3 linked regions of the Neodiprion lecontei genome follow. The protein of the gene in region 1 interacts with the protein of each later gene in a pairwise test. Links are inferred from orthologs where the notes say so. Each region holds a gene or a part of one and is shown in the gene's direction. Other genes may lie near its edges. The genes, in order: deformed epidermal autoregulatory factor 1, transcription initiation factor IIA subunit 1 and zinc finger protein 260.

Region 1 (7,657 bases):
CCACAATGTGCAACACCATTCTTTAATTGGATAACGTGATTGTAAATACCCGTCACATGACTCTAACCATTACAGATTTGACACATGTCCTTCCTTTTACATTGTTGCTGCTTAGGTGTAAGATATTATTTTCGCAATTTCGACGCGCTATAAAATTTTCTCGCTCGAAAAATCTTAAAAAGTTTTTGAATACACTTTAACTCAAAAAACTGATTACGATAAAACGATGAAGGAATACGAGATGACCTGATTTTAATGTTGGTGGAGTGGCGATGGATTGCCTCATGCGAACCTGTGACACGTATGCATGTACGTCCACGACTGGAATATACTATACACACGTAGCTAGCGGTGAAGTTTCGTTGGACGGGTGTAATTACGTTACCCATGCTCTTTGTTGTATCAGACCACGGTTGGTTTACGTTCCTATCGCTCGGATATTGACGCATGAGAGGGGACTTTAATGTCATTTTGTCAAAATTTTATTTTCCATTGTCTCCACTTTTCCCTTCAGTGATCCGGAGCGTTTGAAGCTCTCGTTTTTATGCGCGCCTATAATCTGGCCACATTCTCGAATTCTACCTTGCGTAAATTCGAACGCCTTGGAGCACGATTAGCATGATCTCTGTTCTCTTTCTCTCGTGATTACAGAAGTAGTAAGAAAGTCTTAAAAATTGTTAATAGAAATTTTTTAATCCCTGATGTTAAATAGACGCTGCGTTTTCAGAGAATTGTACAAAAGTTCTTTACGCTTTCTGAGACTTTTATAGTATACGCGCCGTTCGTATCAGTTAGTTTCTAACAGTTTGTACGTTTGGCGATCCGAGAAAGTTTCAAAGTAGAATGAACTTCCTGATAGAAAACTCGTTAACGACTAATTAGTTTGCCCGCGCAGAAAGCAAGAGTGAGATCGCTGGATGAGAGAACAATTTCAAGGTGTATCGCCCCCATCTCACTTGCGAAAACGCTACGTCATTTTAAAAGTATCCGTATATATTTGCGATTCCTATTTTTCCTCCAATTTTTTACTTTTTATAAATTAAAGCTTTACTTCTTTCATGAATAAAAGTGAACGAGCTTTTATTTTACATCTTTCATACACTGACAATTTTACATTACATTATTTAACGACATAAACTCGCTACGAAATTTTCTACTGGCTCGAGTCCAAATGTGAGAAGTTATTGAGAAAATTTTCGTGGCTTGTGACGATGAAAAATAAGTATACACTCTCGTGGAGAAGTGGTCACGTCAATTATAACTGATAGAAAAATTCATCGCAAAATCGGTCGTGTGACTATGAGAAATTCGGTTCGCGAATTTAACAATTTTATCTTTATTATGCCTTTGAAAAGGTTATTTATCTAAATTTTCGTTGGCTGTGATTTAAATTGTACGCTTTGCTCGCAGCAAAGTATTTAACTGATCTCAACGTCGGTTAAAAATTCGTCGAGTAGTTCCGGGATTGTTTGAGAAAATACTGCAGTTCGACGGTTCGGCGAAGACAGATATATACGTATACATACATATATTAGCAGGTACTGTTATTTTCAAGCCTGAACAAATGTTACGATTCATTACTTCACCGGCTACCTACTTTTCAGAGTTTCTAAATAACATCATTATCCTGGTGCTCTGCTGCAGGGGTCGTGCAGTCGGGTTCGTTCACACGATTTATAAACATCGCTCTGGCCGAGGAAAATACAAGAGGGACTCAACCTTTGTGCATTTAGAGATTTATCAAAGCACGTATAAGGCATGTACGGGTAAGTTTATTCACCTGTACAGACGATCAGTTGATGCCGCTAGAAACACAACTGCGGAAGAATTTTCAAACGAGTTTGCATACTTCAACAGACTTTAGGAATAACTGAACAACACGTTATAATTAAACAATGAATATGGATTTTGTTAACCAAGGAAAGGTTTGCAAACGTATACATACGTACGAGATATATACGTATATTATACACATACGGCTACTGTTTATGTTTGAAAGTGATGTTATATCTACGGAAAGTGGAAATATTCCGCTTTCTGTCGCGCAATGAACGATAAATCGACGAAAACTTTACGAAAATTATGCAATGTTCTAGTTCACGACCAAACGTGATACATGCGCGAGTCGTGATACGTAGCGTTATATAAACTTGACTCTAATCTGTGCGCAAAATGTTATTACGCTGCACTCCAAAATTTATACAACTGCACAATACATATTCGCAATTTTGTACACAGATGCCATGCAATGTTTCTCGCATAAATTGTTTTTTCAAATGTTGTGAATAATACTTCCTGAACTCTTCTGGATGATGGTTCTCTAAGCTGCATACTTTTAACAATATTTACCTAATTTAGAGAGAAAAACAAGATAAACGGTCATTTTAAATAACGGGAAAACTAAAAAGAACCTAAAGGTTTGGAACTTGAATTCTTGTTTGTAATTTTTAAGCAGTATTCTTGCTGCATTTAGAAATTTATAGATGTATTTTTCCTCGTATCTTCTATTTGAAAATCCAATGATATTTTTAATTTTGCGTTAATTTTGTGAATAAACGTCCAGTGCGAAGACATCTGTTAATCAAACTCTGCAATATGAATCAACTGTAGTGGTAGCTTACTGACAGTAACTGAACTGCTATACCGACAGCCAACCGATGTCCCTGGGAAGGTCGATAAAACAGTTTCTGTGGGTATTTTTTTCAAACTCCACTTGCTCTAAATTAAGTACTGCATACGAGTTATGAGATAAAATTTTCAATACAGCAAGAACAAAACAACAAAGTATCGTCGGTCAAAGCAACAAATTGTCGCAGTTTAAAAGTCTGACCGACAACGGTACGGTCTGCCCTAAATGAAACTGCACACGCTTAAAGCTAACTTGGAATTAGGGCACGAAATTCCGTCGGTAAATATGAATAAGAGGTTGAAATTCTGAAAAGACGAGAGATGCATTCCGATCAATTCACAAAGTGGCGGTTGAATCAAAGTCCAAACAGGCAACTGACCAATTGATGATAAAATAACGGTGATAATAATTGTCGGAGAGTATGAATTAGCGAAACGCGATGCCGGCGTTGAAGAAACTCTGTGCATGTTTCAGAGCGGTATAGTTACCCATCGTGCTCGGTACTACGAACGCGTTAGTCGATGTCCAGCGACTGACATCTATTCGGTATTTGGGGAAACTAAAATAGCTTTACATGGGCAACGGGTCGGAAAATTTGTATCTGGGTACGAGCAGGGCGTATTTTGATTACCGCGGGTCTCGAGGAAAAGTTAAAGACAATCACGTGGGAAGTCGATAGTCAACTGCGAGGACGAAAGTATTGGCGCCATTGAAGACGAGGACAGCCGAAATGGAGGAGAATCAAACATCGGAAAGTGTCGCTGTGTTACCGGACATGTCCGAACCGTTGACGAGCGAAACCGAGGAGTCGGCTGCCCTAACGGGCGAACACGAAGCCCATCCTGTTGCTGTCACGGCCAACGTTTCCTCCGTTCCAGGGGTCGGCGTTCCCGTTTCGCTACCCGTTGGCTCGATCATCGGGGTAGCTAATTCCAGCAATGGCACCACCTTCAACGTCATTACCTCCGACCAGCTGCAGGTACTTGGCTCGACGATTACGCTCCGCGTATTTCTCACGTTTTATCGCTTCGCCCCAGGCCTCGAAAAAAGTCTGATCGAATTTTCTCACCTATCAGCGTTCAACGTGTTTTTCAATGTCATTTGTCAATTCGTATAGTTGTGAGCATATGACCATCATCACCCCAAAATGTTCACCCCTTTGAATAATCGCATCATCTTTTCCCCATTCGTTATCCGGTAGCTAGTTGCATGGTGTCTGTATGTGGGCTATCGATTTATAACCTACACGGACGGTATTTGCTTACACAGGCCCAGGCTTTTACCATAATATTTATTATCCGAGAGTTTACATGCTCCAAGATTGATCCAATTTATTGGTTTTCTTAACAACTTCATAAATTTGTTTACATTCCTTCGCTTACTCGGTACGCTCACTCTAGCCATGTTCCAATTCTGTTGAACGTTCCATCGGCTTTTGTATGCTTGTACACCTGCCTTTGCCTTTGGTTGTCTAAATAATGTATCACAAGAGCTAATGTACAAGAGTGCACAGTTTTGATGATTTCCAATATCGTAACTGTAGTGGAAAAAATAGTCATCATTTGTTTTTTTGTTTTTGTATAACAATAATTTTGTTATGTATCTTATTCAGAAGTTTCTAAAACAAACCATCAACATTTTGTGAACTCATTTTACAAGGTTATGACGCAATTCCGCAATAAAACGAACGTGCTACGGATAGGGTACCAACAGTGGTCATATTTGAGCAATAAAAGTTTTTGTCTCGCAGGTTATTGCACTTTGAGATAATGAAGAAAACTGCTAAAGCTTATTGAATACGTGATAGTAGTTGTCATGCAAGATCCCTTTACTGCATGCTCTATGTCAACGTTATGTATTTGAGTTCTATTGCAGAATATGAGTAATTGCAATCATTGATATTCATTAGAATACCAATTTGGGGATATTCTGTGGAAAACTTCAGGTACCCTGTCGCGTAGTTGCTAAGTCAGCACTCTCTCAATTCAATTCCCAAAGTTCTTATGATCTTTAGAATATTTGGAGAATATCAAATACGGTACCTTATTAAAAGTAAACGACTGAAAAAATATTTTAATTATCTACACAATATCTGTGTCAAATTATTTTTAATATATTTTGGCCGCCATTGTCTACATATGCTGCACTTGAACATTATCACATTGTGTGACAAGGAATATTAATCTGCCACCAAATTAGTATACATTAAAAAATTTGCATCAGTAAGATTTGCGTTAGCCAGCAAAGATCAAATGTCACGTGCTATTAATTACATTTCAGCTACCGGGCTCGGGTCAATTTAAGCAAATGTTATGCGTGGATAATGGATTTATCTGTGAACCTCGTCATGACAAGGATAGCGATCCTTTACGCTGGAACGGGGAGTTGAAAGCGACGCATATCGTAATCCAGAACAGTACAGATGAAAATGATAGTGATCAAATCCATGTCACAACAGCCAACTCGCAGCCAATATGCAGTTGGTCAGAGTCTGCGAACATGGCTGTACTGCCAGTTAGGTGTAAAAACACTAATGCAGAACTGCACAAAAGTAGATTTGGGTCAGGGGGAAGAGGACGTTGCATAAAACTTGGAGATACTTGGTACACACCTAGTGAGTTTGAAGCTCTTTGTGGAAGAGCATCGAGTAAAGACTGGAAACGTAGCATAAGGTTTGGGGGCAGGAGTTTACAGACCTTGATAGATGAACAGATATTGAAACCACATGCCACATCCTGTACTTGTGCAGCCTGCTGTGACGACGATAGCGCTGTAAGTATCGTTATTTTCATTTTTTGAATTTGGTGATTCACTTTTGTATTGATTTTATTGCTACTGACAACTGATGACATGATTTGGCGTCTGTGCTGCAGACTGGCCCAGTGCGATTGTTCACTCCTTACAAGCGTAGGAGAAGAGCGCGAGAAACCTCTGATGGTGAGACTCCAAATCGCAAACACAAAAGTGACAATTCTCGAGACGGAAGTAACAATGACGACAGTGACACTGAAGTTGTTGTACCCGATAAGGAAAGCTGGTCTCAATTTGTATCAGCAGATGGGTTGGTGGTACAACAATCACAAGAACAGGAAACAGTTGTGCAGAGTGTGCATCAAATTGAAAATGGACAAAACGAAGATATTTTTAAGAAGCTCGACGAAATGTCAAATAAGATGTTGAAACTAGCCTATGAATTTAGGCAAACTCTTGCCGAAGCCAAAGAATTGAATAGGCAACAGAAGCGAGAGCAAGCTCTTGCTGCGCAACTCAATGTCCGAGGTGAAGTAATTGAAACAGTTGGTCTGCAGCCAACTTCGGATACACACAACAAAAAAGTAAGTTTGACTATTTCAAAAGTTCGATTGTCGATTTACACTTTGACACGGGCTCATTATGAATTTTCCCATGTTTTCCCAAGTGTGCCAACTGCAATCGTGAAGCTTTCGCTGAGTGTTCGCTGTGTAGGCGTACGCCTTATTGTTCTACGTTCTGCCAACGAAAAGATTGGGCTGGTCATCAGGTAGAATGTGTAAGAGGCGCTGCAGAGACAGTTATGCTGATAGTTGAGAGTAGTAGCGGGGATGCGAATGCACTTTCAACATCAGCCGGGGACCAATAGCTAGTGTTCCTCACTCCGATTCATCAAAAGAATCCTGGGAGTGAAGAATTGGATATGGAAAATTCGCCAACAGAAGAATTAGAAACAGATATTAAAGTTGCCAAGTCCGAGATGGACAAGAAAGATAGAGAATAGAATAATTATGTTTTCGAAGGAAAATAATAACAATAATGAGCAAAGTAATGAAATGATCCAGGTATTAGCGTGTTACATTGGTGTTATAAATAGAATAGCATAGAATACTGATGTCAACATTCTTGAATACTTGGAATTTTGAAAATTGAGATCGAGAATATTTTGCCAATCAAAGACAACTTGGAGTGCAACTTGTTTTTCTGCGAACGAATTCATACCAAATGTTAGCTTTTAGATATTTTCTACACACCCAATCTAACAATGATGTGGTAGGAATAAAGATTGTGAAATAGTGTAAAGAAATGAAGCAGTGAATTTTGGTCGGACGCAAAATGTTGTAAGATATAGATACTAATTTTTATTCTCTTGTATAAACATATTTACTGTTAGCATCATATTGTACGGACTTTTTTTAGTGAAACACGAAGCATCAAAAAAATTGAGGGACTTCACCAACTTAAGGTTGTACACCTAATTTCACATACTTGTGATATAAATGTTCAAAGAAACGTGTGAAGGTGTGAGTTCCATGCAATATTTCTCTGCCGAACCATTCAGGTAAATCTATATTATTACAATATTCTAATAAGATAAAGTTGAACATTTTACAAAAGCCAATACATACCTGAAATTTAAAGTCCTGATTATTTGTAATCATTGAGATAATTATAATATATGAGCTCATCTCTATGAGCTTTAATTTATTTTCAATTTCAAGGATGCATTAAATTATTCTGCAACCACGAATTGCATGCATGGTCTACCATTTTTCATCAAATGTCATTTAATCACCATCATTGATGTTTCTTATAGAAATGAGTGAGTAGCAATCATCTATCTAATATAATAATCATCTCACAAAAATACCAGATATAGTGCTATTAATACATTTCATTATTATAACCATATATGAAAATCATGAAAAGTTGGTAATATTGATCATCAAAAAAAGTAATTATCTATACGTAAAACCAAGTGATTACAGCGTTTATATAAAATAACTTATAACTTATATTTGATGTGATCGGGCTTCGAATCCTGAGATGAGCATTTTTTCGTTTGATAGTTTTAATCGGTATAAGGATTATAATATGCGTTGAAATTTTTCACCACTTTCTAACTTTATTCGCAAGTTGTAGGTATTGTTATTTATGAAGAATTATGGAGAATACTGCCCTCCTGGAATACGCTAGTTGGTTCTAATAGTTGTATACTCGCAGAGGTTGATTATGGAAACGAATCATCATAGTTGATTAAATGTGCAGTGTTACCAT
Region 2 (7,975 bases), on another chromosome or scaffold:
GAGGGCTGAAATCGATAGCAAATATTGGTATGAACAATGAAAGTTCAAACTTGTACAACATTCGACCAACGGGGGTATACTTACAAAGCAATGTTTGAGAAAAGTATTTTATGGTATTAGTCATGTCGAATCCTGAGGGAGTTGGCTGAATCGCGTGTAGGAGTCTTTGATGGTAATCGTGAAGACTCGAGAGCTTTAGTGTGTCTGTAAAATAGCACTAAAATTACAGTACAGTTCATGTGTAAGGATATTTGTACCTTAAATTGGTTTTGTGTTTACGTTGTACGTTTAAATGAATCTGTTGAAACTATTAATTGCAAGAATGAACATGATCATGAAATACTTGGAAAATTCGATATAACATAGAACGATTATACGCACATGCAGCAAATTTCGTCCCCATTTTAGAGTTGTAACAAAATTGCTTTCGGTAAGATTAATATCGCTTCTTAATATACATCATTCTTGAACAACGCATCGCATGGACCCGAGTATCCGACGTATTGATCCTCCGAACTCAGATACTCTTTAATCTGAAAGCGATGTTCCGCGCTCATCTCGACCGGACAACAGCTGATTCGCTACACTATATTAGTTGTACCTTCGGTTAAAGCATTGTACGGCACTACCGCATTTGCGTAAAAATGACATAAAACGCTTAAAAAACACTTATGTCATTTCATCCGGTCATATTCGGGTTAATCACTCGGTTTTATACACATGAGTTTCACACGTTACGTTGACAGATCTACGAAAAATTAAGCGCACGCGCCAAACTCCGATGGTCATCGTAACTCCAACGAACCACGGTTCAAGAATAATCTGCTGCCTACAGCCAACTAGGTACAATACCATGCGTTACCAGAGAGAAACCTGCGTTACATCCAAAGTATATTATGGAAATGTTTGAGCAAATCAGAATGTGGGGCGGTAATTATTCCGATGAAAAACTTTTGATTCTGAACCCAACCGGCATCCGAAGTCATTGCCTCTCGTTTTATCGTCTGAATAAATTATTAAAGCGTGTATTACACTGCTTATTCTTATAACCCCGGGGATTCCCTGCTCGCAACAATTTCTATCTGACGATCCAAATTTCGGCAATCGGCATAGAACTGGAGTATAATTTGTCCACTGTTTTGTCCAATAAATCGCTTATGCAGTGGATGTATTCCAGTATGTGTGCTAGCATCTTGCTAGCAAGTAGCACGTGGACATTTCGGAATGGTCGTTCCGTAACAAGAATGAATATCCGCGATCTGTCATTGCGGAACGGACATACATTTTGTGTCCGATTCACGATGTAAGAAGGGTAAACAGGTTGAAGTCCGACGTTACCAGGTCAAGAAATCTCCACAATTTCGACACTGATACCTGAGGCAATTCCGAGCCCAACTCATTTCATTACGTCTCGAAATGTCGGACGTGCTAGCACCGCTAGCACACATTTCGGAATACGTCCAGTATAAAGCAGAATGGCTGCTTCATTTTGACGTATTCAGGAACTCCTATGATAACTATTGAACGTAGTCACTTCCATTATAACTTTCACCTTGTCGAACCGTAAACTAGGCTCAAAAAATTACGTTATGCGTAAATCGATTAGTTTTACCGTAGTAAAAACTATCATTGCAATTTTTTAGGTTATATTCCTTCATATCACAGTAAGCTGTACATAAGGCTAAAATCACGAGAGTAGTTATGTTGATCGACGTAGTTGAGCCATAGGGTGGAATGGGAGCTGTTGAGAAAGTATAAAAGAGCTCGAGCAACGCGGCAGGTCGGCTTCTCAGAAGCGGGCATTGATTTAGGATTATTCGTATTGTTGTTCTATTGATTGATAATACGAATTATCCCATAATGGCCCTGAGTCAAACTAGCGTGGTGAGTAATAAAGAAAAACCACGAAAATAATATGCTAATGAAAAATACAGGAAACAAAGCATCGTGCTTAACGAGCCGTATGTATGTATTTACGTCTTGCTTTCGGTAATATTAACTTGCTGAAGGCCTTGGACGATCTGTCAATAGTGTAATCTTCGCTATCTTAATGCCTTTGTGACTGTTGTACTCTGTTTTGAAGTAACATTTGACTCGTTACTTGAAAAATGAAGTCGCTCGAAACATCGTTAAATAAAAATATTTATAATAAACGTTTATCGTTATTTTCACCTTCAAAACATGAGGATATCTTTATCGCCCTCGACACGTATGCGTAACGTGTTACACGACATGTTCAACGAAATGTTCATTGATTACACAATTACAAGAGAAAATAATATTGTTGTCATACTTAACGTAAGTAACAAAATATTAAATACCCGTCGATATTATTTTGATGATGATTTTATTTCTTTTTTAATTGAATAGAATTCTTTAAGAGGCAACAAAGTATTGCAATTCCAACTCGTATGCTATTTTCGCCTCACATATAAAACCTTTCTAGCTAGCTAGAGAAGTGTTTTTCTAAAAACATAATTCAGCAATGCTTATACTTCAGAAAGAAGCAAGAAAAACACATTTTACAACTGTGACATTTTACCTAGAAGTTAAAAAGAAATATGCAGATTCATCCACTTTTTTGTCAACGGCCATCTAATACGACATAAGGTGGACGTTACTTCAGTAATATTTTTACACAGCACAAAAGTGAGTAAAATGGTATTTTGGTTTCAGTTGAAGTTATACAACACAGTCATCGAAGATGTCATAGCTGGCGTGCGTGAATCATTTTTAGATGAGGGTGTAGATGAGCAAGTATTACAGGAGTTGAAACAAATATGGGAGACAAAATTAATGTCCAGTAAAACGTTCGAGGTGAACCCAGATCCACCAGAGCCCCAGCCTCCTCAGCTTACCACCCACAAGACAGCGGCAACAAATAAAGGTAACAATTTTGTAATATTTGATGGCTGTAGTCATATGTTATTGCTCACTTTTTGAAGTATTCCAAAACAGGATACAGCTTTATATGTGAAAAAATTTTACCGCACTTTGCATGCTATTCAAGCTGTATTCTACTCCGTACAAGAGATTTTGAATTTTATTGCAAGTTGTGTTTTTTTAAGACTCCATGCGCTCAAATTTTTTCAATTATCACAATCACATGTACATACTCGCAGAATCAAAATACACTTTGAACCTCTAAAGTGAATAGTTTTATACAGAAAAAAAGAATCCACATCTGGCGAAATCCGCACGTATATTACATATGATAGTAATGTCTAGACGTGACTGATCAATATTTTCTTGATGTTTGCTATTTAATTATTCTATATGTACAAAATTTAGTACGTATTTTTCAGATTGTATTGAAATCAGTAAACATTGATATTTAATGTTGGCTCTCATTTTTACAGCTGGAATTGCTGGAAATCATTTTGTGCAACAACCGTCAACTGCAGCTGCAGTACAGCAACAGCAGCAGCAGCAACAACAACAACAACAACAACAACAACAACAACAACAACAACAACAGCAACAACAGCAGCAACAACAGCAACAACAACAACAGCAACAACAGCAGCAACATGCACAGCAAGCGGGCCATCCTGTGCAACAACAATCAAGTGGTATTGCGCAGCAGGTAGTTACTGCTCCTGCTGCAGTTTTGGACAGACAAGTCCCAATTCAAATCACTCTTCCTGCACAAGCTGGTCAGCCCGATGCTCAGCCCCGAGTTCTCACAATACAAGTCCCAGCCTCAGCGATTCAAGGTAAAATAACATATCCTACTACAGTTTTAACCCATAAGTTACCGGATTACGAAATAGCTTGCTGAAAAATATTTTTACTGTCCAAAGCACATTTAAATGATTTCCTAGAATGCAAAGTCTACTTAAAAAATAAAATTAAAATTTCGAAAATCTTGCCCTATTTTGACAGTGTTCGTATGGATGAAATTGATGTCTTAATGGTACAAGTAGCTACATTTATGCACTTTAACTCTTCATTATGGACGTCAGGTTTCTTAGCGCTAGTGAGCACGTGGGGTCTTCGAGGACCCATTTTTTTGGAGCTATATTTTCGCAAAATTCTGCTAATCATTGAAACATAGATTCAAGTATTATTGATCTTGTTATTGCAATTGTAATGCGAATAAAAATTGCCAAAATATTTGGATATCTGTTTTTGTGCAAGATAAAAAGCTTTGGTAGTCACAGACATTTTTGTTACAGGTAACCAATTACATACTATTTTAACTGGTCCTGTAATTACTGCTGCAATGGGACTCCCTGCGAACCTGGCATCAACATTGTTGCAACAACATGTAAATGCTACGCTTCAAGGACAACCTACGCTTGCGCCTATTCAACTAGCCCAACCAACTGTTGTAACACAGAATACAAACAGTGTAACGACACAGCGAACTGCCCAAAGTCAGGTACGAGTATATGTTTACGGAATGGTTAAATTTCTTTTAATTTGTTTTGAGTTGTTCTAGAATAAATATTGTATACGTTGAATATTTCGTCTCTTTCACAATTAATGCCTTTTCCGTCAGTAGGCTCAAAAGTTAAATATATTCCGATTCTTGATTCGTCATCACTTTACTTCGTCAGTACTTCAAAGGTTATGCAATAGATAATTGACTTTACATAAAACTTGTTTTTCACAAATTTTAGGAATCAATGACAATGACAGCATACTTGAAGTTGGTCTTTCCCGCGTAATCATAGCTACTAAATACAGGGTGACGTAGCACTATCACCCCATAAGCTCACTATGTATTCCTCGTGAAAATCTACGACTGAAACGTTTGTTATTTCTCACTGACAGATTGTCGTTTGCGATTTACAGTTGTTTGAAAATGGCCAAACCGGTATCATCTGATGGTTTAGATCAGGGCTGGTGGATAGCCATGTGCTCCACAGCTGTCCTAAGCGATCAAATACTACCGGACTGGCTAATTTCAAACGTAATTCGCGAACAACAAGTTTCCTATTAGAAATAAAAACGTTTCAGTCGCAGACTTTCACATTGATAGCTTGTGGAGTGATAGTCGTAGGTCACCCTGTATATTTCTTACATTCCTATTCCATTGATGACAGGGTAACATAGCTCAATTGGATGGGCCTGTGGTTGATACGTCTGATGAAGACGATGATGAGGAAGAAGAAGATAATGATGATGATGATGAAGATCTTGATGATAGAGAAGAAGAAGAAAATGATGACGCTGCTGCACGTGAGGAGGTAATATTTTTTCAGATTTAACGTCGTGTAATTATCTTCCTATTTGGATAATGCATATGATATTTCTAGAATGTTTCATATACGTTCTGCTTTACGTTTAAGTGTTTTGTACTAGAGATTATATCTTTATTTAGTATTCGGAATTATTGACGTTCATGTGTGCGCATTATTTCAGGAACCACTGAATTCTGAAGATGATGTTACTGATGATGATCCAACAGATTTGTTTGATACGGATAATGTAGTTGTCTGTCAGTACGATAAGGTTGGTACTTTGGTTGTTATACTTGACCATTTCGTTTGTGCCTACTATTTGGACAGTAATAATTAATATATTTGGAATTTTACTGCATTTTAGATCACAAGGAGCAGAAATAAGTGGAAATTCTATTTAAAAGACGGCATAATGAATCTAAGTGGGAAAGACTATGTTTTCCAAAAAGCTAATGGGGATGCAGAATGGTAAGGGGCCCACTGCTACTTTTCTTTTAACAATAAAAAACCTATTCTTCTTTCCTCGTCTCTTATATCTTTTGTGCAGTCCTGTGAATCACATTGTTATGAATTAATCATTCACAGTTACTTCAAAATCATAATAGTATTAATAAGCATTATAAACCAATTACCATTACTCATTTAAAATGATACATGTAATATCAGGTAATATAAAATTTGTTATTAAGCAATTGGATGTTTTACGGTCTTGTGGACAAAATTCAAACTCTTGTATTTTTTGATTATAAAAATAATATATATATATATATACCTATATCTAAATCCGTACTGTTAGGTATTATCTAAATTCTTGCTTTTAATTTTTGTAAATAAAATCTTTCGCAAATATCACTGCACTGGTTTTGACAGAATATAATATAAGGGAATTCAGTTAACTTACTCAGGGATGTTTTGTTGTGGTATATATAAGTAGACTTGGAAACGGTAATAAAGTATACTCTAATTTTATAAATCGCATGGAACTGCATTGCAAGATAGAAGTGATAGTTGTAACATGATTTTTATTCATCTGATACCGATTAATTCCGTTTTGAATTTATAATTCTTGACCCTTACTCACTTACAAGAGGAACTGCCAAATTTCAATAATATTGCGACTGGAATAGACTTGTTTTTACTTTTGTACGCATTTGTAAATCTTATCATAAGATAGATTTTATGTAATTCCAAAATTGCGATTTATAAATAATTTTCTGAATTTATTCTCTGCGTAAATCTAATATAACATAGAATGAAGAATTATTATGCCTATTTCACTTGGAACACGGATACTAAATAATACATGCTTAAATGGTCTACTAAACGATGGGCCAGTTTAACCTTTTAAGGACGGGACTGGTCGAAATTTCGACCACTGGGTTGGTCGGATACTCCACGTGAGAAATTCATTGATATTATACACAAATTTCGTGTAAAATAAAAGGTCGATTTCAACGTAAAAATTCCCGTCCTGAAAAGGTTAATATGCTTTGGGAATAATAATTTTGAAAGTGAATCACCAGTGTAGTTGTAAATTTTAAGACAAAATACAGGTTAGTAATTAGGAGATTAAGTTTTAATTTTTGATTATACTGTATACTTTCACAAAGACTGTGCTCTAATCTAAATATCTGGTTGATTTACAAATGAAATTGCAAAATGGTTAAGGAGTTTGAGTGTACGCTCACTTACAAATTTTGTTGATTCTCGTGAATATTATTAAATCATGGATTATTTGAAGTAAAGTGCCTATGGGTAAAGTGGCGTGTGGGAGTTGAATTTAAATGTGAAACAGACTATTAAGCAAATGATATGCTCATAATTTTTGTTATAATTACCTGGGATGTAAATATATTGTCAAATGTTGTGGAAAAGTGATTATCGAAACGAAGTATAATAGTAAATTATTCCCGAGTTCATAAATTAGTTCATATTTCATTAGATTCATAAAATGGGTCAGACTTATGTATAAATTAAATTAAAGAAACTGATGCTGGGACTTAAGTAGTCGAGTGCACAAGAATCTATACTTGAATTTATTCAACTATGTAATTCTTATATAATTCTTCAACTGTATTGTAATAAAAACGTTTTTGCAATTCATTTCGAATAAAGAATCGAGCATAATCCAAAACTAGTTGGAAAAATATTTTAAAGTTACATGTGAAATAGGTATAGAATGAAGATTTAATAGGTATATTTGAAAACCATCAATGGTTGAGTATTTTACTTCATCTGAAGAAGCAAACAACTTAGAATGAAAATTCTGTAAGTTCATGAAACGAATGATTTATATACTGTAGATTTTCAAATGCTCAATTCATTAGTAAAAAAAAGAATCCATAATTGAATGCAAATTATCACTGCTTAACAACTGCGGTTTCAATACTTTTCATTGATACATATGTATATAAATCAGTTGAATAGTGTTGTGTGTACGTATAGTGTATTTGAAAATTCTTAGAAGAATAAAAGTGTCTTATGCTGCATACATGTATACCTACATTTGTAAAAGTATTTTAAATAAAGAGGGTCTATTACTGTAGATTATATTTGTCAATCGTAAAATTTTATACCCATGAATCGATTTTATTTGAATCAAATCATCTTCTAAACTAAATATTTTCATTTTTGCTACCACAAACGTATCAGTTACCCACGAAAAATCTATTTGAACTCAACGTCAAACTGAAGTTTGAAAATAGAAGTCTATAATATTGTTTTGCAAATGATGAACCTATACTGGCAGATATCACGGTACCATATCAGATTACCAGCAACTATTT
Region 3 (4,924 bases), on another chromosome or scaffold:
AAAACAACACCGTTTCTTTAAACAATATACGTTTATTTCATTTATTACCTTCGTATATTTATTATTCGTACATACACATGAAATTTATTTTTTTTTTTTTCCTTGAAATGAACGAGATTGATGTAGATAATTTGTTTACATTTTTTTCTAATATCTAAGTTATAGCCCCGCTTGGGGTTTAATCAAGCTTGGTGGTTTATTCGGATAGGTCACCGCTTGAATTAATTCAAACGCAAGCGAGTTAAGTATTCCATAACTTGATAAGTAAACCATAAATTTCAATAATGATGGCTGAAAATAGGAAACAGAGATGAAACTCTTTGCCTCTAGTCTCCATACATATATCATTCATAATAATTATATCATACTAATATTTATATCAACTACTTTCATTCATAACAATTCATTACTTGTAGTAATAATAATTTATTATTAGGTTGGCGCTGCATTACGCACGCGTTGATTATCCATTCCTCAATCACAATGCCGGCCTGGCGGCCACAAAGTGAGATAAATAATCGGCAGTGAAATGAACCACCTCCACTACCTTCGTTGCCAGACCTGTGTGTAAGACCGTGGGTGACACGGATACTTTAGGGTGCGTTTCGAAATTAGCTGGCAGCGCTGAAAACTCCCTAGGACAGAGGCCGAGCTACTCTCTAACCCGGCAGCGGAAGAGAGTAGAATATTGTTTCCAGCACTGAGAGCTAATGTCGGAACTCATAGACTCATAAAGATAGACTGAGCGCTCTTATGAGCCGCTTGAAGCAAACATTTAAAGGACAGAAATATGCCGGCAGTACTCCATTCTCTCTCTGAGAATATTTGCGGCGGGGATCGAGGCGGTAGAGGAGAATGAGACGAAATTATGCGCCTGTATCTAAAGCTGTTCCAATCCCACTGCTCCGTTGTCTCCCACCATGACGCCGATGGAAAAGAGAGAGCAGTACTCCCGGTATATCTCTGTCCTTTATATATAATTGTCAGTGCTTCTTATAGGAGCGCTCAGTCTATCTTTATAAGTCTATGGTCCGAACCACGGTCGTACACTTGGGGACAATGAATCTGAGAAGGCTAATTTTGGACACTAGTCAGTTATGTTTGAAACCCAGAGAAACCTATAACGCCATAGTCGGCCAAGCGCGAAACAAACTCAATCTCAATAAACACAACATAATCCATGGCAGTCGAATCTAACCTTAGAATACCGTGTTGGATTGACACGTCAACAAATCGTTATCCCTGTCGAATCTAACCTTAGAATTGACGTGTCAATCCAACAAGTCATTATCTTCGCAGTGTAGTGTACATACATACCCACCCATAGTATAGGACCCTTACATGGGATTTTCATGTGCAGCAAATAGTTAGATGCGGCGTGCTCCAATTGGTCAATTCACCAAGATCGCCAAGTATCAGACGTCACAAAATGGTGATTTTGGTGAATTGACCAACCAGAGCACGCTACATTCAGCTGTTTGCTGCGCGTGAAAATCCAGCTTAACGGGCTCTTCCTACTTACAAAAATTGAGTAGAGTTACGAGAGCTATATGCATTGCGATCGTGACTTCAACTAAAAATCACAATGCGTTGTATGGGCAAAGCATTACTGAAATATGTTAATACTGAAACGCTCGCCGTAAGGCAGCGTTGCCCGAGAGAGCGTCGTCAAGAAAGTTAGAAAATTGGTAGGATTCTGCCTTTCTCGGATACTCGTTTTTGATTGGCACCGAAAGAGATGGAGTAGGGGGAACTCTAACTCTCTTTCACTAATGGGAAGCGTATTTTTATCTCTGTTCAACCTTTGCGTGGAGATGTGCGTGACAGTGGGGATAGACTGGTGACGTGCTTTTGTACACGGTGTGCGTTCCAGTATTACTATATTTCAGTGGCAAGCACAGGCTGCTTTTTCACTGTTCTTCTCACATCGTGTTCATAATCATGAGTGTAGAGACATTGTAGGGAGATCTCAATGCATAACTAGGGACATTTTAAAGTAACACCTGGCGGCACTGCGGCTGAGTGAAGGGGTCGAGAATCGCGTGCCCGGCCGCCCATTGTTATCCTTGTCGAACGTAATGGCCGCCAGAGAGTTTGTTGACGCTCTTCCGTGGTTCCGTTTAGTACGCGTCAACGAATCCGCGCGATAAATCAATAAAACCTGCAATTTTTGAAGAGATAATAAGGGTTAGGGTTTGTAGTTGAAAGTCTGCGTGCGAGATAGTTTAATTCCAAATAATATGCAGTCATAATGCTGTGAAACGCAAGGCCAATGCTCGCTTGGTATCAGAGACGTCTACCGGACTCAAACATTCTCTGACAAGTGCCTGGCTCCAGCGCCCTAGCCGAGGGGTTACAAACGATCACCGGTACTGTATTTTTCGCATGTAACGTTCCGAACTGTCGGCCGGAAAATAATCCACTGGCAAAGATAAGTGTTTGAGGAGATTTTTTAATCGACTTCATGGTCAACCCATGCCTGGGAATTTGGGATGCTGCCCACCTTGATGCTCGTTGGCCGTTGGCCTGTGTAGCCTTTTGTTAACGGCCCAGCAGGTGTATATTTGCTAATTTTTTATTTTTAATGTGATAACGAGTCTACCGGAATGCAGATTATGGATACAGACTCAAAAAATCATCGAGAATAACGGAGTAGATGCATAAACTATACAAGTGAGTATTTATTAGAAATTTTGCATTTTACATTATTTCTGTTCGGGTTGAAAACTTCTTTTACTTTTCAATTCCTTCGGTATTTGAGTGAGTTTTCTCATCAAATATCCTATCCGACTTTTTCTTATTCAACTACGATGACTACACTACCATATATGTATATATATGTAATATATATACATACACACACACACTCAGTTATATATATATTTGTAGATTAGAGTGTCCATTATTTTGGTCATTTTAGAATTTTTTCGATTACCCCAAAAAATTGTTCATTTTACCGACAAAAATCTTGTATCAATATAAAAGTTTTTAATATAAGGTAATATTAACACATGAGCGATTGAAATTTTAAATGTAAAATACATTGAAGTTTTCGATGTTTTGAAATTATTATTATTTTATTCATTGAATAAGATGGACTAATAAGATCAATTTGATGCTTGAGAACAATGCTCATACTTCCAACATATCACGGAATTGGAAAAAAATTTTTTTTTTTAAACTCATCCACTTCACAAGACCATAACTTTTACAGTTCAATTCAGCATCGTTATCTATGGAATACATACGCGCATCGCAAATTTTTTTTTTTGTTCCTACGTCTAGTTGAAAGTATAAACATTGTTATCAACACATATACCGTGGCGACCTGTCATCTGAACTTATGACGGTTGGTCAACTTGACAAAACTGCTTTTGCTCTAAAATTTTAGCACATGCGTGTTGGATTATTCCACTGTCAATTACTCACATTGTATATACCTGGCATTTTCGTGGACGTGCACCATGAGGTCTACTCTGAGCAACTCGGCAGTCCATTCGTTAGCGCGTGGCTGATGTGAAACTCGGAGCTGCACAGAGTGGACTCGTATCTTGAATGGCTTGTAATTAGGGGTCCCCTGGTACGCATCCACGAAAACTCATGGTATACAACTTCGGCATTCAGAAATCGGATCATGTTCCGTAACAAATCCTTTTTGGACCCTCTTATTTTCAGACTGCAAAGAAGCCAGAAATGATCTATTCGTAAAACTTGTTTTAATAATGTATCCATTATCATTCTATGTTAAGTATTGATATTTATCATTCAATAACAGGTATTAAACTTTGAATATCATAACGTGAAATTTTTGTATAAATTCATTTACAAATAATTCAATTATTCTATACATAAAATGAAATTTTGTTTCGTTTCGAGAGACCAGTCTCAAATTGAATTCATTTTACTGCCATCCTTTAATCTGATTATGGAGATCACTGGAATTTATTGAACCAAAACATAGTGATTCTTCATAGTTGCAAGCACATTTTGCAGCAGAGTCTGAATCCCATTTAATTGTAAGCCATGGCCTTTCATTAGTAAAACAAACACTGCTCAACGAGTTCCACATTTGAGGAGTTATGTTGTAAAGGCTCACTGTTAATATTATACTTATGTTTGATTTTACCCAAAGTTCTCATAATTTACTCATGCAGAATGACTAAATGTGAAAGAAGAATTACTTTGATATTTGAATTCTTATTGCGTAGCTTTAAGGGATCGTCTCAGTGTGAAATTTTCAAAAAATTGTTTTTTTTTTTTTTTGCATTATCGTATAGTATACACTGTTCTAAACATTCTCTCAAATTTTTAAATCGAAATTCAAATTATTACGGTCGCTACAGCGTTTCTTGTAGAAAGGGAACGGGTTTTCTACCTGCGCGAGTACTAAGGTGCTTAGGTTCTATAACCTTGCAGAATAAACTGTCCAAGCATTTCAGTTCGTTTTGACATCCACCACGGATAGACGTACGAGAGAAACCCCCAAGAAAAAAATCAAGACCTGGCATCGCTGATTGATCGTAAGTAAACGATTTATATAAACTTTTCCAACTTCAATCTCTAAACGCGTTTTTCTCAGAATGGTGTTTTTCAAAACGGTTTTCACTCTCAAAGGAAGAGTTTTAAAGATATCTAGTTCCAATTTCGGGAGAACATTTTAAACGTCATTCTTTATCGCGCTATGGAAGCTTTTTTTTTTTTTTTGAAAACTTCCTATTTTTTTTACGAAAAACTGTCGAAAAAAAGGGCCACATTCGACACTTTTTGTTTAAACCGCTGCCATTTTGTCAAATTTGAAAAAAAAAAAAACCCTCCATAGCGCGATAGCGACTTTCCTACAGATCAATAATCTTTTTGAAATTTTTTTTTCAGATCAAAATTGCGGCCGTCATCGTGGAAACCGTGCAGCACCTTTTTTTTTCAC

The links.
Region 2: the proteins of deformed epidermal autoregulatory factor 1 (region 1) and transcription initiation factor IIA subunit 1 interact in a two-hybrid assay, tested with the Drosophila melanogaster proteins (2 studies listed by BioGRID). The link is inferred for Neodiprion lecontei from reciprocal best matches to the Drosophila melanogaster genes Deaf1 and TfIIA-L.
Region 3: the proteins of deformed epidermal autoregulatory factor 1 (region 1) and zinc finger protein 260 interact in a two-hybrid assay, tested with the Drosophila melanogaster proteins (2 studies listed by BioGRID). The link is inferred for Neodiprion lecontei from reciprocal best matches to the Drosophila melanogaster genes Deaf1 and Clamp.

What each region holds. Positions count from the first base shown.
Region 1 is NC_060261.1:38,356,202-38,363,858, reverse strand, and holds the start of deformed epidermal autoregulatory factor 1, read left to right. Parts: upstream 1-1,646; 5' UTR 1,647-1,766; intron 1,767-3,103; 5' UTR 3,104-3,359; coding exon 3,360-3,608; intron 3,609-4,909; coding exon 4,910-5,401; intron 5,402-5,502; coding exon 5,503-5,964; intron 5,965-6,047; coding exon 6,048-6,248; 3' UTR 6,249-7,657. UniProt on the Drosophila melanogaster protein: Transcription factor that binds the homeotic Deformed (Dfd) response element. High affinity binding sites contain at least 1 TTCG motif surrounded by additional TCG sequences.
Region 2 is NC_060263.1:28,727,903-28,735,877, reverse strand, and holds transcription initiation factor IIA subunit 1, read left to right. Parts: upstream 1-1,972; 5' UTR 1,973-2,181; coding exon 2,182-2,298; intron 2,299-2,676; coding exon 2,677-2,887; intron 2,888-3,359; coding exon 3,360-3,716; intron 3,717-4,178; coding exon 4,179-4,384; intron 4,385-5,051; coding exon 5,052-5,195; intron 5,196-5,370; coding exon 5,371-5,460; intron 5,461-5,553; coding exon 5,554-5,661; 3' UTR 5,662-7,838; downstream 7,839-7,975. Other genes in the region: protein unc-79 homolog, read right to left, coding at 1-5, 85-204, 382-403. UniProt on the Drosophila melanogaster protein: TFIIA is a component of the transcription machinery of RNA polymerase II and plays an important role in transcriptional activation. TFIIA in a complex with TBP mediates transcriptional activity.
Region 3 is NC_060266.1:16,752,253-16,757,176, forward strand, and holds the start of zinc finger protein 260, read left to right. Parts: upstream 1-1,914; 5' UTR 1,915-2,673; intron 2,674-4,924. UniProt on the Drosophila melanogaster protein: Transcription factor involved in X-chromosome dosage compensation in males, the process by which transcription of the single X chromosome in the male is elevated. Binds to the DNA sequence (GA)n.